Linked DNA regions of Mus musculus. The protein of the gene in region 2 purifies or fractionates together with the protein of the main gene of each other region. This does not show direct contact. Links are inferred from orthologs where the notes say so. Each region holds a gene or a part of one and is shown on either strand. Other genes may lie near its edges.

Region 1 (12,924 bases), on a different chromosome or scaffold from region 2:
GAAGTACAGTAAAGGGTGGTTTCTAAAAAAAAAAAAGTACAAGTTCCCGCTTTGTGGATGCCCTAGAGTTCTTTTGGAATGCAGTTGCAGGTGACGGCTAAAGTTAGCTGTCTTCTTCTCACCGCAGGTCGTTGATTCCATGGATAACGTAGATAAAGTTGTCCAGGAGAGGGAAGATGCTCTAAGGCTTCTTCAGACCGGTCAAGAAAAGCCCAGACCCGGTGCTTGGAGAAGGGACATCTTTGGACGAATTGTCTGGTACATGATTATACTGACTTCTAAGAGTGGAGACGGGTGGCCTGGTTTCCCCTCTCGGGACCTTTAAAACTCCTCTCCTGTGGATATATTAGCGGTCTTATATAAAGAGAGGTCCCCAAGCCGGGCGTGGTGGCGCACGCCTTTAATCCCAGCACTCGGGAGGCAGAGGCAGGTGGATCTCTGAGTTCGAGGCCAGCCTGGTCTACAAAGTGAGTTCCAGGACAGCCAGGGCTATACAGAAAAACCCTGTCTCAAAAAACCAAAAAAAAAAAAAAAAAAAAAAAAAAAGAGAGGTCCCCATCCCCTAAACGACAAAGTGTTTTGTCTTGTAAAACAAATTCCAGACCACACAACCCATCCCCATGGGTTCTTGTCTTGTATAAATCATAAGTTCTTTCAAGAGTTTTGTGAATTCTTCTGACAGATACATCTGACAGAAAAATCAGCCTATATAGATTCTAAAATTCAAAGCTAATTTCAGGTACACCTCTGCCCACCTTGTGCACTAAGAACTTGGGGTTCTTGAGAGTTCTAAGCAACAAGTTCAGATTGTTTGTTTCACTAGCATCTGGATAAGCCCTAGGCCAAGTACTGAACAGCTTACCTCCTCCTGGGGAAGGATCTGAGACTCAGCTTAGACACTGGCCAAGTACTGAACAGCTTACCTCCTGGGGAAGGATCTGAGACTCAGCTTAGACACTGAGGAGTAAAGGACTCAGAGAATCCACTGACTCGGGGACATGTAGTGTCTTAAACATGAGTCCGAAAGTGGAGAAGCTTGAAATGCCTAGACGTTTTCCAAGCTCAGGACAGCACCTCTCACTTGATGTAGAATTTCAGCCATCCTGTCAGGAACCATCTAATCCAACCAGAAAGAGAGAAATTGCCAAAACGTCACTTAAAAACTCTTCCAAGCCGGGCGTGGTGGCGCACGCCTTTAATCCCAGCACTCGGGAGGCAGAGGCAGGCGGATTTCTGAGTTCAAGGCCAGCCTGGTCTACAGAGTGAGTTCCAGGACAGCCAGGGCTATACAGAGAAACCCTGTCTCGAAAAACCAAAAAAAAAAAAAAAAAAAAAAAAAAAAAAAAAAAACTCTTCCAAAGAGCCAGGCAGTGGTAGCACATACCTTTAATCTCAGCACTCGGGAGGCAGAGGCAGGTGGATCTGAGTTCAACACCAGCCTGTGGTCTACAGAGTGAGTTCCAGGACAGCCAGGGCTACACAGAGAAACCCCATCTCAAAATAAATCTTTCAAGGACTTAGGGATGTAGCTCTGGTTGAAAATCTCTAGCATGTAATATAATTTTAACTGCATTTTCTAATTTTATTTTAAAACTGCTTTTTAAAAATTTTTACTTTACCTGTTTGTGGGGGTGTGTGCTGTGGTGCATGTGTGGAGGTCACAGGGAACTTGCTCAGCATCTCACTGGCCCTTTTTATGTACTAATTTTTATTTGGTTTAATTTATTAGAGACCAATTAGAAAACAGTGAAAATTGAAGTAAAAATGTATCAAGTATTTTATGTAAAGCAGTAACTTCCCTTTTTTGGCAGGCACAAATTCAAGCAGTGGCCTATACCTTGGTACCTAAATAAAAGATACAACAGGAGGCGGTTCTTCGCAATGCCTTATGTGGATCGCTTTATCAGGTGAGCAGTGTCCTCATGGTGAAGCAGCCTTACTCCAGATGGCCTGTGACCTGAGCTTCCTTTACACCTTGGTTTCTACTACATGAAGAATATGTTTTCATTACTTTGAAAAAAGAAATAGCACTAGGTTGAAAAAAGGAGAAAATTGATGCCATACATCTAAAACCTTATGTGCATAAAGTCACTGTCCCAATAGTGTGTACATATCCTTTTGGAAGTTGTATGGCTTCTGTATGTCTGGAAATGAGGGAAGTTCGACAGTACCATGTGGAGTGTAAGCTCCTTATTCCAGGGCTAGTGGAAAGGGGTGTTGGCAGCACTGAAATAGTGCTATGCTACGGACTGCCACCTCAGGGTTTCCTGTGGCAGACTGCCTTCAGTTCATGAGACAAGGAGAGTACGGTGCTTGTTACATAACTGTAGTTGGCAATAACCACCAGCTAGGTGATCCTAAGGGAACTAGGGACGGCTCTTCCACCCACCCACTCACCCTTTTTCAAAAAGATTTATTTCTTTTATGTATATGAGCACACAGTATCTGTCTTCAGACTCACCAGAAGAGAACATCAGATCTCATTACAGATGGTTGTGATCACTGTTAAAGCTTGATTTATACACACCACGTGCTGCCGACATGACTGATGCTCTTATAGAGTTGGCCAGAACGTTTTGAGAAATGGAATGGTTTTGTCTAAGTTGCTGTTTTTATTCTAGACTAAGAATTGAGAAACACGCCCGCATTGAAGCAAGAAAGAGAAGTTTACAGAAAAAGAAAGAAAAAATTCTCCATGCAAAGTTCCCACATCTCTCTCAAGAACGGAAATCAAGTAGTGTCTAAGATGAGACCCAGAAGTCTGGTTCCATTGTTCTTAAAGCCTGTGTCCTGACGTGAATACCTGTTAAGCAGTTTATAAAGAAATGTTCTTGTCAAGTGACATCAGTTGTTCTTCTAGCTCACATGGCATCTTCATTAGCTCTACAAGTAGTGCTCCTTCTATCAAAACCAGGCAGAGTTCAGGCTCAGTTCCCACTGAATGGGTCCTGACATCTAAGCAGCTTAATGTAATGCAAATGTAATGCTGGGTGCCAGAGCAAGGCTAGCAGCAAAGTCAGTTTGGAAATGCTGTTCTCACTAGTGTTAAACTGTGAGGGGGAAGGATCTGAGGAGGGCTCAGAGTTTAAGAGCACTTGTTGCTCTTCCAGAGAACCCAGCACAGATAGAAAAGCTCATAACCTCTGTAACTCCAGTTTGTAGGAAACCAACACCCTCTTCTGGCTTATGCAGACACCAGGCACTAACTAGTGTGGTGCAGATGTCCATGCAGGTGAATTATCCATATACATAATTGTTAGCAGGAAAGGGATGTGGACACTGGTAGTCAGTGATTGCTTCCCCACATCAAGTAATGGTAGAAGCAGCGCTGACAGCAGCCAGTCACACAGACAAATCCAGCACGCTTCTAGGACAGTAGTGATTTTTATTTAGTTTTGTAGCCTAAGGTACAAAGCATAGGCAGTAACTTGTACTTGTCAATACAGAGTAATTCCACCAACCAACCCCCAGGAGAGCTGGAGAGTACTTACTGAAAGCAAAATATTTAGAGAAAATAGACATTCATACAAAATTATAAAATGCCTGTAATAAGAATAAGTGCATTTCAAGGAAAGCACAAACTCATTTAATTTATAGAGCCAGTTAAAGCCTTAAAAAATTTAAGTGGAAATTGAAATATGCAAACATGTATAAACATTCTACAAAAGATGGTCATCTTTTCCTGAGTGTACTAAAGCTACAGACGTTGAGGTGACGGGCAGGCAGGGTGGAGCCCTCAAGGGCATTTTCTTTCTACACACTGCTTCCCTCCTTCTTCATATTCCTGTTTAGAAATCCACATCTGTTGAAAGGTACCCTGTAAGATGGGAAGAAACAGCAGAATTATGCCTCACTTTTTATTAGAAGGTGGTGCTTTGTACTCATAAAGGTCCTTAGCTGCTAAACTGTTAAACCCCTCCTCCAACACAGTACTGTCCCCTATTCCGCTCCTTCTTCTGAGACAGGCCAAAGACACTGTTTAGCCTGGCCTTTCAGGTCTGAGAGAACACTAAGCCCCTCTATACCTGTTACATCAAAAAGAAATGAGAACGTGGCTGGCAAAGGCATGAGGAAGGGTCCTAGGGCAGTAGTGGGGCCTCTTAGTGGGCACATGCCAGTTACCTAAGGTCCTGAGGGAAAATGGGATGCCCTCCATCTCACACTCTCAACTCAAGGTGGACTCCTGTTCAGACCGAGCACAGTGATCTTACTGGTTACACAGCCAACTCCTGACAGCCTCACCAGGAGGTGGGAAACAACTGAACTCAAGAAATGGCTCATCGATAAATGCAGTGCACCTAAGCCTGCCCAGGGCCAAGACGTATTACAGAGGCTCAACAGATCCCACTGAAGGGGAAGACCGTGTGGGGTGACTTATTCACTGATGATGCATCTGATGTACCCAACAGAGCCAAGTGCAGTGGTGTAGACCTGTAGTCCCAGCACTCAGGCTCAGGCAAGACGGCTCCAAGTCGGAGGCCAGCCTGAGGTTGCTGGAGTGGGGAGTCATTTTTATATGTAAATGGTTTTAAGCAGATACTCCTACTAGGTCCCCACTCATCTGTCAGTTTTAAGTGCAAAGATCAATGAAGCACTGAAATCATTCTTAATATTTTTACTAAATAGTATTTTTAATGCAATATTTAAGCCAAATAAGAATCTTGCTTTTAAGTTAAAATTTCTGCTTGTACTGAAAGTTTTTATGACTCAAAATTGTAATAAACCATTTCCAGAAAACCCAGAGTGGTGTTCTAGGGAAAAATATATGTATAAACTGGGGAGAGTTACTTGTAGTACCAAGACAGATTTTTATCAATATAGAATAAATACTAAAAGAATTCTTGAGCCCCAACAAAAAGAACCAGAAAAGATGTAATTGTTCAGAGAAAAATATGGTGCACTGTGAGATGATAAAACGTTCTTTATAAACTGCTACACACAATCTTATTCTCAAAAGTTCCTCTCTCAAACCAGAGACTGTGTCAGTGGAATCTTAACTACTAACCAAAGATGCTAGGATAGAGCCACCAATCCATGAGCTGAACCTCCGCTCCACCGTCGTGTTGTTTGCAATCAGTTTCAACCGCATACTCTACAACAGATGAAGAAGAAGCGTTAGGATACTGGGATAGCCACAACCGCCAACCTGGGAATTCAGTGCTGAAAAACCTCTAGAGGCATGGTGGAACATGTACTTAATCCTAGCACTTGGGATACAGAGACAGGCAGATCTCTTAGTTCCAGGCCAGTATGGCCTACATAGTGAGTTTGAGGTCAAATAGGACTACAACAGCATCCAACACTCACACCCACTCACCCTGTCTGTCTCTACACACACGGAAAAACAAATTAGTTTCACATGGTGTCAAATGGCTAAGCTAATAGTTGGCATAGGCTAGGCTACTTTTCAGGAAAGGTCTTAATGAATATCGGGTAAGAAAATGAACTATGTGACTCAAGAGACTGGGCAAACACAAGCATGCAACACCACACCAGGTAGGAAGACACACTGGACTGGAAATACTGAAACCCATGCTCTAACTTTTGCTGTCAGGAAACTTGTTCAATTTCCTCAACATGACACTCCCCTGAGAGCTTTCATTCTGCAGCACTAAAGACATTACAGAGCTTGCAGTCTCCTCCCTTGAACAGCTCTATTAAATATATTTTATGATGTTCTTTTAATCACGAACACTGTTACTCTGTAATCTCATTTAGAGTTGTAAGACAGGATTTATATATGTACATAATTTCTTCCTGTTAAACATAAATTAACAAAGCAACAAAACCAAAACTGTAAAACCTGCGTAGGACAAGGCCAGCCCTTACAGTTCATGCACCTCCAAAGGCCCCAGGTGCTTCATTCCTCTTCTTCGAAGTCTCCCACCCACCACCCTACCCCAGAGATCCTGCTACCGAAACTCTTCCCAATCAAAATGCCAGACCACAAGTGACTTGATTCACGCTCATGTCTGCAACCCCAGCACCCGGGCTGAAGGGGGCAGAATGCTGAGTAAATCAGCCTGGTCTACAATGGGACAACAACATATGCCCCATCTCAAAAAACTAAAACCTTAGTGCCTCTGTTCTGAACGTAGTATATCGCCCAGGCCAGCCTTAAACTTGGGATCTTCCTGCCTCAGCCTTGCAGTAGCTGGGATAACAGGTTTGTATCACCTGGCCGGGGGTCAATGATGTATTCAATTCACTTTCTTTAGGGTCTTTTCCTTTCCTCCTTATGAATCTGCCTCTAGGAATCATTTTCAAGGTGTCCAAACAGGCACTCTATACAACACAAATGTGGACAACCTTCATAGTGCATTAGCGTGTGAGGTGTCAGAGCCCAGAACCAGCAATGTGCTAGTATGGGTGTCTGTTCCAGAATGGAACTTTTCTTCTGACAATTTTCGTTTTAATTACTCCCTTAAGGACAAAGGTTTCTAGATTACTCTTGGGGAGAGGGGGGCTTATTTAATTATTTTAATTATGTGTATGTATGTATATGCCTGTGTGAGTATATGTACACATGAGTGCAGGTGCCTGAAGAGGCCAGAGAGGGCACTGGAGCCCAAAGTGGGTTCTGGGAACTCATGTCCTCTGCAAGAATAGCTGATGCAGGGAAGGCTACATAACACCAGCCCCTAGTTCACTCCTCAGCAGACCTTGGGCCATTCATGCCTGCAGTTGTATTTGTTGGCTTTCTATGAAATCCAACCGTCAGAACTTCTACTGCAGGTTCTCCTACACCAGTGCTTCTCAACCTCCTTGACTCCTTTGGGGGTTAATGATGCTTTCATATCAGGTATTTACATTATAAATCATAACAGAAAAATTGAGCCGGGCAGTGGTGGCACAGGCCTTTAATCCCAGCACTTGGGAGGCAGAGGCAGGCGGATTTCTGAGTTCGAGGCCAGCCTGGTCTACAGAGTGAGTTCCAGGACAGCCAGGGCTACAGAGAAACCCTGTCTCGAACCCTCCCCCCACCAAAAAACTCCAGAAAAATTATAGTTATGAATTAGCAATGAGAATAATTGTGTGGTGGTCACAACATGAGGAACTACAGCATTAGGAAGATTGAGGACCACTCTCTAGACTATCATCTCCAACTCTGCAGTATACTGACGGCAGATGTCAATCATGCAAGCGTATTAATACCCAGACAGCACTTCTGTTTAACATCAGCAACTAAGACAGTTTCTACAGAAACACTTAATACCCTGTAAGCATATTATGCCTTGTATTATTAATACACCATGTAAATTACCCCTCCAGATTCTCCTCTCCCTTGAAAATTAGCACCATATGCCCTGTGAGTGTATATGTATGTGTGCTCATGTGTGCACACTTATATGTGAGTGTGTGTATGTAAAATAATGTGGAGAGAGATAAAAGACACCGAATTTGACCTCTGGCCTCCAGAGAGACATACATGGGTTAATGTACACAGCACACACAAACATTTAAAAGAAATTCAAGTAACAGAAGAGGAACCAATAGGTGTTACATAGGACAAATACATTATTAATAGATATTACTCATAATATAAAGGCACACAACTATCTATTAAATTCTACTCGGTGAGAATGGACACAAATAAATAACACAAAGAACAGAAAAACTTACTGGTGGAGTTTTCTGAGAAAGCTCTCTATTTAACCTGTCAGTGAAACTCTGTATTAGCGTGTTTCCTCCTGCTACGATCACACTGCCGTAGAGACCCTAGGAGAGAAGCAGAATCATGTCCAGGTGTTTCCAGCAATCCCACAGTATTGATAGGTGCTGGGAATTGGATCCAGCTACCAACCTGTTGTTCCATTTACTTATTTTGTATGTATGTAAGCAAGCAAGCCACAGCTTATATATGGAAATTAGTAAGACACTTTTGGGAGTTCTTTTTCCAACATGTGGATTCTGAGAATCAAATTCAGGTTATCAGACTTTGGCGGCAACCACCTTTATGCACTGAGTCATCTTGCCAGCCTAGAGCCACTAATGTAAAACAATTATTATTAATCTCATAATTTTTTTAAAGTTTTTTTTATGTATATGAGTACACTGTAGCTGTACAGATGGTTGTGAGCTATCATGTGGCTGCTGGGAATTGAATTTAGGACTGCTGCTGGCTCCAGTCGGCTCCACTCGCTCTGACACAAAGATTTATTATTATATCTAAGTATACTGTAGCTGCCTTCAGACACACCAGAAGAGGACATCAGATCTAATTACAAATGGTTGTTGTGAGCCACCATGTGGTTTCTGGGATTTGAACTCAGGACCTTCGGAAGAGCAGTCAGTGCTCTTAACTGCTGAGCCATCTCACCAGCCCCAAATTTGTAATTCTTATTGGCAAACAGCTACTAATATTAGAGGTATATTTCATAATATTATTCATCTTTGTTCATCTGAAAGTCATGATATTTTACATTAGACAAAATTGTTTTCTGATCCTGACAGATAATGATAATGTTTCCTGGCCAAAATGCTTTCTCTTTTGTAGAAATGTTGCAACTTTTTTAGAGCACAGGCTGAACTTCCCAAATAAAAACAACTTCCTACTCAGAAGGGATGTATTTACTTCTACTTTGCATGTATTTATCAAATGTAAATGCCAGCCTGCCTTTTTAACTGGCTCTGTTCTTAGCTTTAAAACCTATTCCAGCCATGCAGTGGTGGCGCACACCTTTAATCCCAGCACTTGGGAGGCAGAGGCAGGTGGATTTCTGAGTTCGAGGCCAGCCTGGTCTACAAAGTGAGATTCAGGACAGCCAGGGCTATACAGAGAAACCCTGTCTCAAAAAACTTAAAAAAAAACAAAAACAAAAAAAAACCTACTCCAAGCATATAAGTTGTCAAAATTTTGGACTAGAAAATGCAAAACTTGGGTCCCATCTGCTAACGTTAAATAAACAGAAAAGGACCTCAATATCAAGCTCCACTCTTACAAATGTATTTAATTCTCTGCCTTTAAGTGACCTTGCATAAGAAAACACCAACACTTAGAGCAGAAAATCAGCTCAGTGGGCTACAGGTGCTCACTGTGCACATCTGCACACGAGTGTGATCTCTGGAATCCATGTGACGGGACAGACACTCAACACCACAAAACTGTCCCTCCATATACAACACACACACACACCTACAAAAAAAAAAAATCTAAACTATTACTTCCACTATCCGAAAAGTGGTATGGAGTGATAAGACACTTGAAAGAAAATATTTTCGTGGTCACCCAACAGCCTTTTGTGAGTATGGTGTTTACACACTCACATCTATTCACGTCATACTTTAAGCAAATTAACTTGAAAACGAAGATAGTATGTGGATTATAAACTAAGTGGATTATGAAATAAATCTATAGCTTAATAAATTATACTATAGATGAGTATATTATATAATCAATTTGATATAGTGTCAACAGTTTAAAACCTGACATAGCACAACAAAAAAGGTCATCTAATACAATCTGTGTCAAAGTTGCACACTTAAACCACACTTTTCTGAAAACTACAAGTAAAAGTCAAGAAAAATCACTAACTTCTATGTATCTTGATTTTCTACATTTTAGGAAATCTGGAGTAGCAACGACCAAAGGAATTTTGTGAGGGTAAAGCATTCTAGACTCTGTTGTGTCCAGTCCAGCAGCCACAAGCCATGTTCACAGAAGACTTGTGGCAATCCAGGAGCTCAGCTGCCGGTCAGATCAGGGTGTCCATCTCTCTCCACGTGGTTATAAACAGCCCGTAAAGCCAGGGGCCAACTGCAAACCAAATCTGGGACATTTCAGTGCTCTAAGAGACAGTAACCAGTAGAGACTGGCACTTACTGGTCTGATGTCGATGTCACACATTCCGACGCTGGTTGTGACAACGTGACTGACTCCCAGCATCGTGTTCCCAGACAGTCCCTAGAACGAGAATGCAGGTGTTTCTGAACACAGAAAACCTACTGGCAAACTGAGTCTTATCTAGACTTTTTAATCTCGTAATTAAATTCTCTCCACAGGAAAAGCCACAGCAATTCTGAAATTAGCTTTCACACCTTTACGTTGGAAGGGTCAAATAACCCTTCAGGAATTTTCAGCCGCTCTGCCCCAAAATCACAGTTGTAGCCATTGGGGAATTCGTAGTGGACGGTTGGCATCTGTGCAGCCACTCTACAAACGGAAACAGCAGTTCACAGAAAGCAAGCCACTCTGTTCAAACTTATAATCCACTTACAAGAGCTACCAATGGCTGAGAAATTAGAGCACAAACACCCAGAGCAGTAGTCAGCATATGCTGTATGTTTTCAGGCTAACAGTCTACAACCCTTCAATAGTTAAACAAACCAAAGCCCTTATTTCTGAAGTACAGTACACAGTTAGACAGAAAACGTACTGTTCGTCGTAGGTGGAGTCTGACACCTGAAGAACGGAAGCTTGAAAATCCTGGATGACGCACTGTGGACAGAAGGAAGTTAGGAATCAGGTTGAACTCTTAGTAATGTGCACTGTACGTGACAGACTACACAATGGCATCAGACCACTTTCTCACGGTTCAGTCATTTGAAGAGGGCAGGCAACTCTTCTAAAAGCTGAGCATCAGCATACGCAGTTCTACAGTTACATGGGAACTTACAATCTATAACATATATTAAATTCATTTCTACAATTATAATTACACAAGTTATTTCAATTCCACCACTTATGGGACAATAACAAGAGATTAAAAACAACCAGGAACCTGTACCACGGCCCCACCAAACTCAACCAGTTTCAGAAGATCATTCTTTTCCTTAAAAGTAACCTGATTTATTATCTATCTATTATCTATCTATCTATCTATCTTATCTACGGTTTTTTGATACAGAGTTTCTCTGTGTATAGAACTGTCATAGAACTCATGCTGTAGACCAGGCTGGCCTCTAACTCAGACATCTGACTGCACTGCCTCCCAAGCACTGGGATTGAAGGTGTGTGCCACCACCACCCAGTAACTTGATTTTAAGAGAAACATTTATCACCTGAATATGGCATACAGACTCGTCATATCTATAGAATTTCTAGTGACTGCTGTGAAATGAACATGGCCTGCATGTTGATATGGAAAAATTCCAAGAATTTTCCATGTTCTAATACATACACCTTTGGGTGCAACATGCTCTCAGAATAAACTAAGTCAATTATGGCGTCATATCCTTTTACTATTAGAAATTAGTATGTATATCTATGAGATGGCAATACACTGATCTCTTACCTATATAGGGCTACACATGCAGACATATTTCCAGCAGAGTCTCACTGGCCCACTGCTGGAGCAGTCACACACACTTTATGTTTGATAAATGCTAGGGAAGAAATCTCACTTAAGCTGTAATAAGTTCTACACAAACTGAAACCATTTTCTCAACAACAGTATTAAGTAGCATTCCTACTTCTACCCTAAAGCCATAGCCTGTCCCACTTCTTCACACTGCTGTGTAGCGGCCTGTTTGTAGGGGCTGTTTCAATAATATGGAAAGTGCTCCCCACACCAAGCTATTGCTTTTGTCAGATATTTTAAAAAAAACATAACATGGCCGTCTCTGTCCAATCCCAAGGCAGCCCACTTGTCCCTCCAGGGTAATAAACCTCCTCTGTGTTGTTTAAAAAATAATAAAATTCCTTGGACTTAATACTTTATAAAGACAGTAAGGGTAACTTACGTTGCACATGTAATTGTGCCAAGACCTTGTAACCTGGGGCAGTTTCTCTTTTCTTTTCCAGTTGGCTGGAGAACCTTCTCGAACAGCCTCCTGAGAACACCAAGAGCACATGCTAAGAGACTTCACGAGCCAGGAGAGGAGGCAAAGGCAGGTCTCACCAAGGAACGTCACGTGCTGCTTACTTTTGATGCAATCATGTAAGGAGGAATGAGTTCTATGTTCATTTCCTGGAAGAGTTCTCTGCACTGCATGGTAATGAAGTCTCCAGCCAGAGGGGATTTCACAATGCCTGAGAACCAAATCAAACAAGGCTGAAGGAGCCCAAAGTCTCAATTCCTTGGAACTGTGAATATATTTACACAGGAATAAGTTTCTTTTAGTAGATTAAGTAAGCTATCATTTTAAAGAGCAAAGCCATGCATTTGAAACGTATTACTTGGAAATGGATGTGCTCCAATAGAATTCCTGGTCTGTCTTCACTATCTATGTCAAGACCGGGAAAGTCACCTTGTGCCCTCATTAAGCAGTTACCTTGTTGAAGAACATAGCCATCGTGGACTGGAATCGCAGTGGTGTGGGTAGCTCCACTGTCCAAAATCAGCCCAGTAGAACGACCATTAGCAAATCTGGTTTAAAGCATTAAGGAAAATGAAGTATCGAAGCTCCTAGGATAGTACTGATTAAGAAAGGCTGGCTCTTGTCATGCTTAAGTCAGTTTATTAAACAGACGTTATCATTTACATGTGTAAAAGCATGTCTAGAGATAAAAACTGGTGTAAATAATTGAAAAGTCTTGAAAAGAACTTGCACAGGCAGGACTCCCAGAATGGTTTCTTCTTTAATTAAGCTGCTTAAAACGAACATATTGTAAACCTCCACAACTGATCAAAAGGCTTACAATAAATTGAAACATTTTTAACAACATTTACAAAAACCAGACAAGAACAGCAAGAGGCTATGACACCTGGGTGGAGAATTCTGGAGGAGCCCTGCAGGTATGGCAGCTGGGTGGCAGCCCCTGCCCTACCCCAGTGCACCCCAACAAGCAACTCGAGGTGGACTCAGCAGCTGGTGAAAGAGCAGCTCCCACTCCCCTCAGCGGCATGATACAGGCCTGTATGAACTGGGCCTCAGCGGCATGATACAGGCCTGTATGAACTGGGCCTCAGCGGCATGATACAGGCCTGTATGAACTGGGCCTCAGCAGCAGCTACAGCCCTGTATGAACTGGGCCTCAGCGGC
Region 2 (12,924 bases):
GGAAATCTACATGTGTATATTTCACATGGATTTATTTACCAATGAATACTTAAACATCTAAATGTGTATTCATGCCTAAAATTAATGTGAATATACTAGATAAATGTCTAAATATTTATATTAGATAAATTCACTAAACAGATGGATTTGAAGCTATTTCTTTTTTCCTTTCTTTTGGTTTTGTGAGACCAGCTCTCACTGTATAGCTCAGGCTGGCCTAAAATTCAGATCCTTCCATCTCTGGTTCCATGAGCTGGGATTTCAGATATAAACCATTACATTTGGTTTATCAATTCTTCTTCTTTTTTAAAAAAGATTTATTTATTATTATACATAAGTACACTCTAGCTGACTTCAGACACACCAGAAGAGGGCATCGGAGCTCATTACGGATAGTTGTGAGCCACCATGTGGTTGCTGGGATTTGAACTCAGGACCTTCGGAAGAGCAGTCAGTGCTCTTACTCGCTAAGCCATCTCACCAGCCCTATCAATTCTTCTTAAGAAACTATTATAATTTTTTCTTTGTGTGTGTGGTCATATGGGTACATACATGTTCATTTGTATGTCATTTGTTTGTGGGTGTGTGTACATGTGTATAGAGATCAGAGGTCAAGGTCAGGTGTCTCCTACTTCCTATTCTATTTCCTGAGACAGGGTCTTGTACTGACTGGCTTGACTGGTTCCTGGGGTCTTCCGTTGTCAACACTCAGCTACCTCCATCTCGAGCACTGCAGCTACAAGCCTGTCCAGCATGCTTGGCTTTTATATGGGTGCCAGGGATCTAAACTCAGGTCTTGCATGGCAAGAACTTTACACACTAAACATCTAGCTCTTTTTATTGATTCTTATGCCACAAGAAGTCCCAATACTATTTTCATTTACAAAAATTAAAATGGCTTTTGTTATCTTTCTTAAACATTTAAAAAATTGAGGTTTATGGGTGTTTTCCCTGTACATATATCTTTGTATCACTTACATGCCTAGTGCCTATGGAGGCCAGAAGAGGGTGTCAGGTGCCGTCAGAATGGAGTTACAGATGGGGAGGAACCAGCATGTGAGTGCTGGTGTACACAGACCTCTGGGAAGAGTAACTAGCCCTCTTAATTGCTGAGCCATGCTCCAGGCCCCTGTTCCGTTTCTCAACAGAACTCAGGGCATGAGATAAACTATAAGGATTTCTGTTTCTATATGTGTCATGGGTTGTATCTTCCAGCCCTCAAAAGCAAAAGCCTATCATATCAATAATGGGAGAATAAAAAGATCTTATTTCGTAAAAAAATCAATCTGTGTACTTCTTAACAGAGTTCCCCATAATCTATGAGACATGTGCTCTTTAGAAGATTCACTGGACTCAAGCAACTGTGAACCACAGGAGTGGCATTTACATTTCATTATTATTATTATTATTATTTTTGGTTTTTCGAGACAGGGTTTCTCTTTATAGCCCTGGCTGTCCTCGAACTCAGGAATCTGCCTGCCTCTGCCTCCCGAGTGCTGGGATTAAAGGCGTGTGCCACCACCGCCCAGCTTAAATTTCATTATTAAAGTACTGCTACATCCCATGAACTAGAGCATGTTCATCAACTAGTATCAACACCCAACAAAAATTTCTTGAATGAAACCTCGTATAGAATTTGACTGTAAGATGCCTCCACTCTCCTCTTTATTTCTATCCCTAGTTCTTCACAAGGAACCATTTCCTAAACATGCTAATCAAGGATCCACCTCAAACTCTGAAACACAGCATATTTACACCCTAACCTTTCCCTTTCTTTTGTGGTTTTTTTTTTTTTTTTTGTGACAGGGTTTCTCTGTGTAGCCCTGGCTGTCCTAGAACTTACTCTGTAGACCAGGCTGGCCTTGAACTCAGAAATTTGCCTGCCAAGTGCTGGGATTGGAGGCATGCGCCACCACGCCTGGCTCACTTTCTTTATACCATTTATCATATGCAGAGTATCAGCCTCTCTATTCATCTTCCAACTCTTTTATGATACTTTGTGCCTTTTTAGGTAAACTCTGGCCCACAAAGTTTCTTACATGATCATGTTGAAAGTGATCATGTTGGGTTTTAATAGGCTACTTCACATTTCCTTAAGTATCAGTCTAACCATGAGATTTCAAGCTCTTTAATATAGAGCTCAACAATGCTTATCATTCATGTCTGTGTTCCATAACTGGTAACTATCAGCAGCAGTGCTCTCAGTGGGAAACAAGCCAAGGCATATCACCTACTAGATGTTAGATTATGAATTTTATTGCTTGCACATCTCCAATTCTTCAAATAAAAACTGAAAAGATTATCAGTCCCATAGACAAGTACAGATGACTTAGAGATGATCTTCACGAAGGGCTTTACCATGATATTTTACAAAAGTTGTCACTAGGAAAAGCAATCATTAATATTTACTTTTCCTTCACGGTCTAGAGCAAAGATCTCCTAGATGCAATTAAACAGTCTAAAGTTCTAGCTCTCAGTACTTCAGAAGAGGGCAGGATTTACTATCTGTAAGTTCAATTTAACCAAGTGCCTGTAAGAGCATATAGAACTTATACTGCGATTGCTGGATTACACTGGGTATTCTTCCAGTAAGTGCCAAAGATACGCAGGCTAAAAAGCTGAAGGAATTTTAGTAAATTAAATTTATTCTTTTAAACCATTTATAGTCCTACACTATGCTCTTAAATTGATAAATGAGATAAAAAAACAAAAGGCCTTATTAAGTAACTGAAATAGAGATTGAGGGGGCTGAGAAGGAGCACTGGTGTTCTTCCAGAGGACCCAGGTTCAATTTACTGCACCCACATGGTGGGTAACAACCATCTGTAACTCTAGTCCCAAAGAAACTAACTCCCTTTTCTGGCCACTGTGGGCACTGGATATATGTGCTGCATAGACATACATACAGGCACACCATCTCAGTACACATAAAATAAAAATAAGCAAGTTTTTAAAAAAGTGAATGGATTTAGACCAGTCTATCCTCAAAGAATAACTCCAAGCTCTCTAATTCATTTAAAACATTCTTAAGACTAATTTTCAAAGAAAAAAAAAATCCTACTTTTAGTTTTATTACAGACTGTATTATTGATCCTTTAAAAGACATCTTCTGCGAAAGGCTGCATTTTAGGTTTCTGCATTATGCAAGAGCTTCAGTCCTGCCCCTCTCACCGGCACTTATGATGACAACTCAGTAGTGCTCTTTACAAGTTTGTTGTTGTTGTTGTTTGTTTTTTGTAGACAGTTTCTCTGTGTGGTCTTGGCTGTCCTGGAACTTGCTCTGTAGACCAGGCTGTCCTTGAACTCAAGAGATCTATCTGCCTCTGCCTCCTGAATGATGGGGTTAAAGGTGACCACCGTTCAACTCCCTCTTTATAAGTTTTGACCCCTCCAACACTGTAAAAGGGGTGGGGGGAGCATATGTTTTGCCTACCAAGAATTCAGGATAGAAGGCTATCTACAGGCTGGTGAGATAGCTCAGAAGGTAAGAGCACTGACTGCTCTTTTAAAGGTCCTGAGATCAAATCCCAGCAACAACATGGTGGTTCACAACCATCTGTAATGAGATCTGACGCCCTCTTCTGGTGTGTCTGAAGACAGCAACAGTGTACTTATGTATAATAATAAATAAATATTTTGAAGAAAAAAAAGAGGAAGGCTACCTACTATAACCATGTACCTAAGCAGAAAGTTTATCAAAGCATAACTCTCTCATCTGTTTTGCATTAAAAATCACATGTATTTATCATAAAGAGATGGGTTTGAAAACATACCGGTTCATCCTTCTTGCCCGTTCCAATACTTCAAACATATGCTCCTGAAATAAATCAAGTCGCCGATACCGATTACTTTCAACATTTTTCCTGATAATGTCAAATGTAAGGGGAGGTTTATTGGGAGAGTTGGGATCCACAGCAGGAATTTCTGCTAAGGAGTCGCTGTAACACCTCCCTTCGTCATCCTGATGACTCATGACTGACACAAAAAGGTTATGGATGAGCTCTTGAATCAGCAACGTCACATTAGGGACATGAGAATCCTCATCTCCCTCCAGGTCTCTCCGAGTCTCAAGGAGGACTTTATGCAGTACAAGGGCATCTTTGTAGATCAAAGACTCTGGTTCATTGTAGGTACAGGCATTATTAAACATCATGACAAAGTCCTCTACCATAGAATCTATGTCTTGGTACTTGTTTGCCATCATGTGACTTCGAATTTTTTCCATGTCCATGGGCTTTTTAATGGTCAGGTAGTAGTCAGGCAGCTCTGATCTAGAGGGGAGTCTTAGAAATATAGCACTAAGGCGGCGACCCCTCTTATCAGTATAGTTCTTTACAGCTTCATACACTTCATTCAGTTTCTGCTGCATTGGAGTCATGTACTTTGATTTCTTAGGAGAAACACCACTCTTCCTACCTGGAGAGAGAGAGAGGTATTGTCATGCGAAGTGGAAAAAATGGCATAAGCATAACTTTTTACATAGTTGGTAGCACAACCATAAGAAAGGGGTTATCCTAAATGATTTGTAAAACCACAGTATTCAGCATCTCTTTAGTAAGATAGATCTCATAGACAAAAATAGACCTGGAAGAAAACCTTTACCCTTCAGCAATATAATTTATATATAAATAAAATTTATATATGTATATAAACATTTTGAGACTGAGTCTCATATAACATAGGTGGGCTTTGAACCCTCCTGCCCCAGCCCCTAAGGGCTAGGATTAAAGATGTAAAGTTGACACAAAAGCTGGTCACTCTATTTTGATGTGAGAGCAAATACTTTCATGATGAGAGAGCTGTGAATGGGCTCAGCAAACGAGTATCTCTGACATTCTGACGTTATTATCACCTCTGACACCCTGGAGAACTGAGAATTTCACTTCAGGAAAAAGATAAAAGTTGTTGAAACAAATTGAAGTGTGAAAATTCTTAAAACTTGAATATCAAAGTATTAATATAGTTTACTATATCTTACTTCTAAATATGAAGTCATATGTATTCTAGTTCCATTCATTGTAATTTCTAGAAATGATAACCAACTCAGTAACAGGATGCCCCAAACTAGTCTATTTATAGAAAAGAGTCTCAAGAAGCCCAGGCTGACCTCAAACTATACAGCTGAGCCTGGCCTTGAACTTCTGATCCTCCTGCCTCCAGCTCCCAAGGGCTGGGATTACAAGTATGTATCTCCATATCTGACTATGTGTATGCTTTTATAATTATATGAAAAGAAGAATTCCTTAGTGAAAAGGAATTGTCATTTGCTAGCAATTTACAAAGTAATGAAGAAATTCAGTTTATGGGTAGTTTACATTAAAAAAGATGCTTGTCTTTGTCCTTTCCAGTAAACACAACTTTAAAGATTATTTGACATTGTTATTGTTTGCTTAGTATTTGTTTAAGATTACTTGATGTTATTGTATGCTTAGCATTTGTATTGGCTAATTTTGTGTCAATTTGACACAGCTGGAGTTATCACAGAGAAAGGAGCTTCAGTTGGGGAAATGCCTCCACGAGATCCAGCTGTAAGGCATTTTCTCAATTAGTGATCAACGGGGGAGGTCCCCTTGTGAATGGCTGGTAGTCTTGGTTCTATAAGAGAGCAGGCTGAGCAAGGGAGCAGGGGAAGCAAGCCAGTAAAGAACATCCCTCCATGGCTCTGCATCAGCTCCTGCTTCCTGACCTGCTTGAGTTCCAGTCCTGACTTCCTTGGGGATGAACAGCAGTATGGAAGTGTAAGCTGAATAAACCCTTTCCTCCCCAACTTGCTTCTTGGTCATGATGTTTGTGCAGGAATAGAAACCCTGACTAAGACAGCATTGTTTCATTTATATTAAATAATTCAGAAATATCTCCTTTAATTCAGTGATTTTTTTTTCTGTGTTCTTTTCCTTTAAAAATTTTGATAAACCATATCCACGTAGGTTACTCAAATGGTCCCTGAGTAGTACATTTCTCATTTCCCAAAAATTTTTTTTAAAGATTTATTTATTTTATGCATATGAGTACAATGTAGCTGTCTTCAAACACACCAAAGGAGGGCATAGGTTGTGAGCCACCATGTGGTTGCTGGGAATTGAACTTAGGACCTTTGGAAGAGCAGTCAGTGCTCTAAACTGCTGAGCCATCTCTCCAGCCCCCACTTTACAAATTTTATCCAGGAGAATTGTTGGGATTCATTTTTAATTTTATGTAACACCAAATAAAATTAACAAAACCTGCCATACTCTTTTTTTCTGGCTTCATATAAAGAATACTCTTCTCAGTCAATGGCTATAAGGAAAACCTCTGCCGTTAATATTCAAGTTCTTTTTTTAATGATTTGGACATAAAGTATACCTTGAAAAGTTCCTCATAAAAGACTTAGAACCAAGCTGGCAGATACAATCACTGAGAGGTCAGAGCATGAGAGTGCTGCTTTTATTAACAGATGACCTGAGGAGTCATAATCTGATGGCGGTACTGGGAGATGGGCTGGGTTGGAGTTAAGTGGGTCCCTGATGGAGTGGTCGAATCACGTCTCTCTGCTCCTCGTCTATCATAAGCTAAGCAAATCTGCAACTCTTTGTCCTTACACGATGTTCTACTTTACTATAGCCCATGAACAACGGAGACTAAGCTCTGTAGTTGTAGCAAAATGAATCCGTTCTATTTCTCACTGTCATATACTCAGTCCCATCAACAAAAAAGCTAACTTTATACTCTTGCTTATTCTTAGACTCTTACTTAAAACACAGTCAAAGAGTGTCAATGTGAAGAAAGTTACCTAAGAGCAGTGCCAGTGAATAAACACTTGTTCATCATTTAATTAAAGAAATGTCAAGGAACCAGCAGTCTCTCTTTGACAGACTAAACTGAAGAGCAAATTCTAAGGCAGACTTACTCAATTTAAGTTTGGGAGAAGCCATGTCATCATCATCAGGCAGAGGGCCCAGCTCTTTCCTTTTATCTTTGAGTAACTTCTCCAGGATATGGGCATCATTGTATACCTACATTCCAAAAACAGACTTAACATTTTTTTCCTAAAAACATTGTAATTAAGAAATAAAGAAGTCTTTACTCTCTGAGGGCGGTGATACATAACTACTAGCACTCAGGAAGCAGAAAATCACAAGTTTGAGGCAGACATCATTTACACAGTGAAATCCTAACTCAAATATCAAAACATCAACAAACAAGCAAAAAATAATGACTATGTGTGAATGAGTTTAAAACACAGTTTAAAGAGAAAAAAAAAGTTAAAAGCCGGGCAGTGGTGGCACATGCCTTTAATCCCAGCACTTGGGAGGCAGAGGCAGGCAGATTTCTGAGTTCTAGGCCGGCCTGGTCTACAGGTGAATTCCAGGACAGTCAGGGCTTCACAGGGAAACCCTGTTTCGAAAAAAAAAAACAAAAAACAAAAAACAGAAACAAAAAAACAAACCCAAAAAACAAAAAGAACACCACAGTTTAAGTCAGCTGGATGGTGTTGGCACATGCCTTTAATTCCACTACTCAGGAGGGCAGAGGCTGGTGGATCTCTGTGAGTTCAAGGTCTGGTTTACAAAATGAGTTCCAGAACAACCAAAGCTATACAGAGAAACCTTCTCTTGAAGAAAACAAAAAGAAAAAAGCAAAACAAAGCAAACAAACAAACAAAAAACCCAACATGGTTTAAGAGAGCCGACAGCTCAATCTTTAGGCTCTCTTCAGAACAGCAACACTCCTATCTTAATGGGGAGAACCTATTTTGAAGCTTTCTGGGTCATTCTAATGTATAAATATGCATGCTAATATCTAAGATCCATTGTGGTAGAAATTTTATAGATGTTTAATTTTTTATTTCAAGTGTCTGGGTGCTTAGCCTGCACATGTAAGTGTCTGTGTCTACAGAAGGCACAAAGGATACTAAATTCCTTGGAACAAAGTTCAGAACTATCTGTAACTCCAGTTTCAAGGGACAAAACAACCTCTTCTGATCTTAACACCAGACACACATGTAATGTGTGTGTGTACACACACACACACACACACACACACACACACACAGGCAAAATACTCAAGTACATAAAACAAAATCTTTTTAAAATCCTTAAAAATAAATAAATAATAAGATAAACATTTTAATGTATTGGCTTTTCTTAGAGTACATATTCACTATTAAGTATTGTTCCCAAAACTCAGTTTTTTTTAATATCTTTTTAATATCATATAAAACTCTGGAGTAAGTACTACTACTATTATTTCTAAAGTATACAGTAGGAAAACAGAAGTTTAGGAAGGAAAATTTCCTTACACAGACACTGGCAAAGCAGGAGCCATTTATAACACTCATCTTTCTGTTACCATCATCATTTTGGTTTTTTGAGACTGAGTCTTACATAGCCCTGGTAGGACTATAATTCATGAAGAACAAACTCATCTTAAATTCAGAAAGCCACCTGCCTCTGCCTCCCAAGTTGCTGGGACTACACTGTGCATCATTACACCCAGCTCTTTATTTTTCGTGTGTGTGTCTGTGTGTATTTGTGCATGCAGGACAGAGTTGGCTGATCATTTCTCTGCCTTTTTTTTGTTTTGTTTTGAGACAGGGTTTTCTCAATGAACCTGGAACCCATTAATTTGGCTAAACCAATGTGTAGTTCCAGGGATTCTGTGGTCTTATCTCCCTAGCACTGGTATGTACTACAGGTATGTACTGCTATATCTGGCTTTCTACATTGGGTGCTGGGGACTTGCACTTAGGTCCTCATGTATGCATAGCAAGTACTTTACATACTAAACTGTCTCCCCAACACAGAGTAGGATTAAAATGTATGTGCCATATAAGTGCAGGGCAGCTGGGCGGTGGTGGTGCACACCTTTAATCCCAGCACTCTGGAGGCAGGGGCAGGCGAATTTCTGAGTTTGAGGCCAGCCTGGTCTACAAAGTGAGTTCCAGGACAGCCAGGGCTACACAGAGAAACCCTGTCTTGAAAAAACCAAAAAAAAAAAAAGTGCATGGGAAACCAAAGGAAAGTAACCGGTATCTTCCTTAATCATGCTGTCCTATCTCACTATCTCACCGACTTTCAGCTATCTATCTGGCTGGCAGGCAAGCCCTCAGAATCCTCTGCTCTCTTCCCCAGTGCTACAGTTATAAGCATGTGCAGTACTGCCTAGCTTTTTACATAGTTCATAGGGGAACTTGACTTGAATCTGTGTGTTTGCAGAGCAAGTACTCTTACTCAAGGACCATCTATTTTTAAAAACAGATTTCTTTATTCTGTATACGGCATTCTGACAGCATGTATGCCTGCAGGCCACAAGAGGGCACCAGATCAATCTTAGAGAGTTAGGAACCACAATGTGGTTGCTGGGAATTGACCTCAGGACATCTGGAAGAGCTCTCAACCTCTGAACCATCTCTCCAGCCCAGTAAACAATTTTTAAACTATAAACTTTTACTCTTTAAAACATGCTGTCTTCCATTTTTAAGCAACCAAGAATAACAAAATATTAACACACTCACCAAAAATAACTAGAGTCAAGAAGAGGTGGCTGGTTGAGGTAGTTCATGGCAAATGAAAATGCTGAAGAAGCAGAGACTAGAGGATGTTAAGTTCAAGGCCAGCCTGGACCATGAGATACTTTGCCTTGAAATGTAAAAAAGAATTGAGAAGATGATCCCTATGTAAGAAGCTAGGTACTACTGCACATGCCTACAACTGTAACACTGGGTAAAAGGATCCTGAGGGCTCGCTGGTCAGCCAGCCTAGCTGAAAGTCAGTGAGATAAGACAGCATGATTGAGGAATACAGAATACCTTCTCCTTTAGCTTCCCATGCACTTACAAGGACACACACACTTGGGAGATTCACTTGCATGTCTGTCTGTCTGTCTGTCTGTCTCTCTCTCTCACACACACACACACACACACACACACACACACACACACACACACACACACGAGTCAGAGACACAGAGAGAGTCTAGCTCTGATCTTTCACACTCTAGGAGCTCCTCCATACCTGGGAGCCCTCCTCATTGTAGTGCCTGGCATTGCGGAACATGAGTTTCATGTCTTCCATCATTCCTTCTTCACCTGCATATTTGTCATTTCGGATGTTATGCTCAATTATTTTCAGGTCCATTGGCTCTAAGATGATTTTATAATAATCAGGATAGTCCTTCTTGGATGGCTTAACCATAAATAGATCGCAAAGTCTTCTGCCTGAACCTGGCTCTCGAGCTTCAAGAACAACATTGAATAAAATTTTCATTCGCTGTTTTCTTATGTTCTTTTTACTGTTGAGGGGAAGGTAGAAAAGGGGAAAAACAAGGTCAGCTTACTTTATCCAAGGGTGACCATGAATTAGAAAAAAAATTTTTTTGTGGGCAGGCACTTCATAATGTTTACAATATGTTGATTAGATGTGTCATAAACATTGTAAGCACGCTGAAAAGGTGTAAGAGAATATTAGGAAAATTTACAAAATGATTAAACAGTGATCCTGGCAGGAGCAACCAGTGACAAACCTGTTTAGAATAGCTCTTAAAATATAATGTTCAAAAAATATAGTGTGATACCATAAGAAAATGAAATTCAATAACTACATGAAATACATTTTTCATTTTGAGGCAAATAATGCAATAAAATAGCCACTCCATTTCTAAACACAGACAAAACAAAACAACCTACCAGTGTTTTATCTCTTAAGATAGCTATTCCTAAACAGATTAAATATCCCAGCTACCAAGGGGGGGGGGGAGACAAAACAAAAAGACCTCTGCATACTACTATCTCCATAGGAGGTACAAGTCCCACAGCATTCCTATCTAAACCACAGTCGCCTCAAGTAGACTGTGGTTCATCTAAATTCTACATTTGTAGCATTTAGCACTTAGCAATTCAATTATGCTTTTTCTCCATAGTCCACAATCAAGATATAAGAACCTGATATGAATGGTACAGAACAAAGACTATTAACACCAGAGTTCAGAAGGGGCCCAAGATGGGGTTGCCTTACTTAACTGTTGAGAAAACCAGCTCAGAAAGGCTAAAATTCAAGGAAAATGGCTCAATAAATCATTACAAGAGTTTATCTTCTGGGGGCTGGAGAGATGGGTCAGCAGGTAAGAGCACTGACTGCTCTTACGAAGGTCCTGAGTTCAATTCCCAGCAACCACATGGTGGCTCACAACCATCCATAATGAGATCAGATGCCCTCTTCTGGTGTGTTTGAAGTCAGGTACAGTGTACTTATTTATAATAAGAAATAAATCTTTTTTTTTTTTTTTAAAGTTTATCTTTCAGTTTGACTTCTGGTCAATATTTTTTTAATGTCTTCAGGATACTGATAAATTCTAGCTAGACTACCCAGCAGTCTCCAAGTGGCCAGTATGTAAAAAAGGAAATAACTTATAAGATTTAGTTTCTAGTCTATAAAAAATGGCTAAGATCCTATAGCATTGTACACAGAAGTAAATATTCTTAATTGTTTTCTATCTTATAAGAGAAGGAAGTTCATTTCTGAAAAAAAATTATATGGCTATGGGTTTCTTAGCCTAGCCCCCAGACTATATTCTCACTCTCTTTCTGGGTCATGAGACTTTGCCTCAATTCAAGACGTGCTTTTAGGGGCTGGAGAGATGGCTCAGCAGTTAAGAGCACTGACTGCTCCTCCAGAATTTCTGAGTTCAATTCCCAGCAACCACATGGTGGCTCACAACCATCTGTAATGGGATCTGATGTCCTCTTCTGGTGTGTCTGAAGTCAGTGACAGTGTACTCACATAAAATAAATAAATAATTAATTAAATAAATCTTAAAAAAAAAAAAAAAAAAGACATGTTTTTAAAAACCAGAAATAGAAGCAAGAGGTGGAAGCCAGAGAATCAGGATTTCAAAGTCATCTCTGGACTCATAGCAAGTTTAGGCAAGCTTGGGCTACATGAGATGGAGGTGGGTTGGAGAAAAGGGAAAGGGAGAGGGGACAGAAAGATCACGGATTCATCTGTGTATATGTGTAGTGTATGTTAAAAAACAATCAGCAACCCAGATGCTCTCGAGTCTCAGAAATGTCTATCTAACATGATGGCGCATGGCAAACTCAAAGTGGCCTACATAGGAAAGAAAAAGAAAATAACTTATGGTTTCCAGGACTGGACTCATCCTCATTACGACGTCATTCTGACTCCCTTTGTCCACTGTGGCCCTATGATCATTCTGCCGTCTTTTCCTTCCTGCATCAAGTAAATAGTTGTTAACCTAAGAGCTGGTTCATCTCGTGGGTAGTATTTTCTCTAAGAACAATATGGAAAGATGATGTGGAAAGGTCTGTATCCAATAGGTACTACTAATAAGGACAGAGCTCCAAATGACAGAGCTCCACACTGGGGTACGACAACTTTAACTTTCAGAGACTGAGAAGAAATTTTGGAACTTGAATCAAAAAAGTCACAGAAGTCATACTTAAAACCAAGTTAGATATGGCTTGTTTAGAAATGTCTCATATGTAAAGCTTGACTTTAGAAGATGCCAGAATTCAGTTTTGAAAAGCTAGGCTTAAAAGCACTCATTAGTTAACACAGAAAGAAATCAGTTTCTCATTCCAGAAGTTCTAAGAAGTAGAATCCTTCCATCAAAAGCCAGACATGAACCCATTCTCTCCCAGGACTCAGCGGAGACTTTTCTGTATGAACCCATACTCTTATTTGGGACTGAATCTGTGGCAGACTTTAGTGAGGTTTTAAAAGACAGTTTTTATATCAAGTAAAAGAATAGCAAGTGGTCCATTCTCAATGCCAACAATCCTAACACTTGGCAACTATGAATGGGTCATATCCAGAACCTGAATCTTCCTGTACATACAAGCACTGTTCTAAACTAGTAGCTGTAGTTTTCTTCCTCTATTACATCATAAGTAACATATAATTAATTGGTTTACTGCCTTAGAGGCTG

Evidence for each region.
Region 1: the proteins of Pbrm1 (region 2) and Actl6a fractionate together in Homo sapiens (co-fractionation; 4 studies listed by BioGRID and IntAct, with this or other methods). This does not show direct contact. The link is inferred for Mus musculus from reciprocal best matches to the Homo sapiens genes PBRM1 and ACTL6A.

Annotation. Positions count from the first base shown.
Region 1 is NC_000069.6:32,717,415-32,730,338, reverse strand, and holds the end of Actl6a (actin-like protein 6A), read right to left. Parts: intron 12,309-12,924; coding exon 12,214-12,308; intron 11,972-12,213; coding exon 11,865-11,971; intron 11,773-11,864; coding exon 11,683-11,772; intron 10,439-11,682; coding exon 10,377-10,438; intron 10,154-10,376; coding exon 10,039-10,153; intron 9,905-10,038; coding exon 9,824-9,904; intron 7,720-9,823; coding exon 7,624-7,719; intron 5,093-7,623; coding exon 5,006-5,092; intron 3,818-5,005; coding exon 3,737-3,817; 3' UTR 3,368-3,736; downstream 1-3,367. Other genes in the region: Mrpl47 (39S ribosomal protein L47, mitochondrial), read left to right, coding at 128-258, 1,812-1,907, 2,622-2,745.
Region 2 is NC_000080.6:31,058,814-31,071,737, reverse strand, and holds part of Pbrm1 (protein polybromo-1), read right to left. Parts: intron 10,270-12,924; coding exon 9,993-10,269; intron 6,993-9,992; coding exon 6,887-6,992; intron 4,417-6,886; coding exon 3,774-4,416; intron 1-3,773. UniProt on the Homo sapiens protein: Involved in transcriptional activation and repression of select genes by chromatin remodeling (alteration of DNA-nucleosome topology). Required for the stability of the SWI/SNF chromatin remodeling complex SWI/SNF-B (PBAF).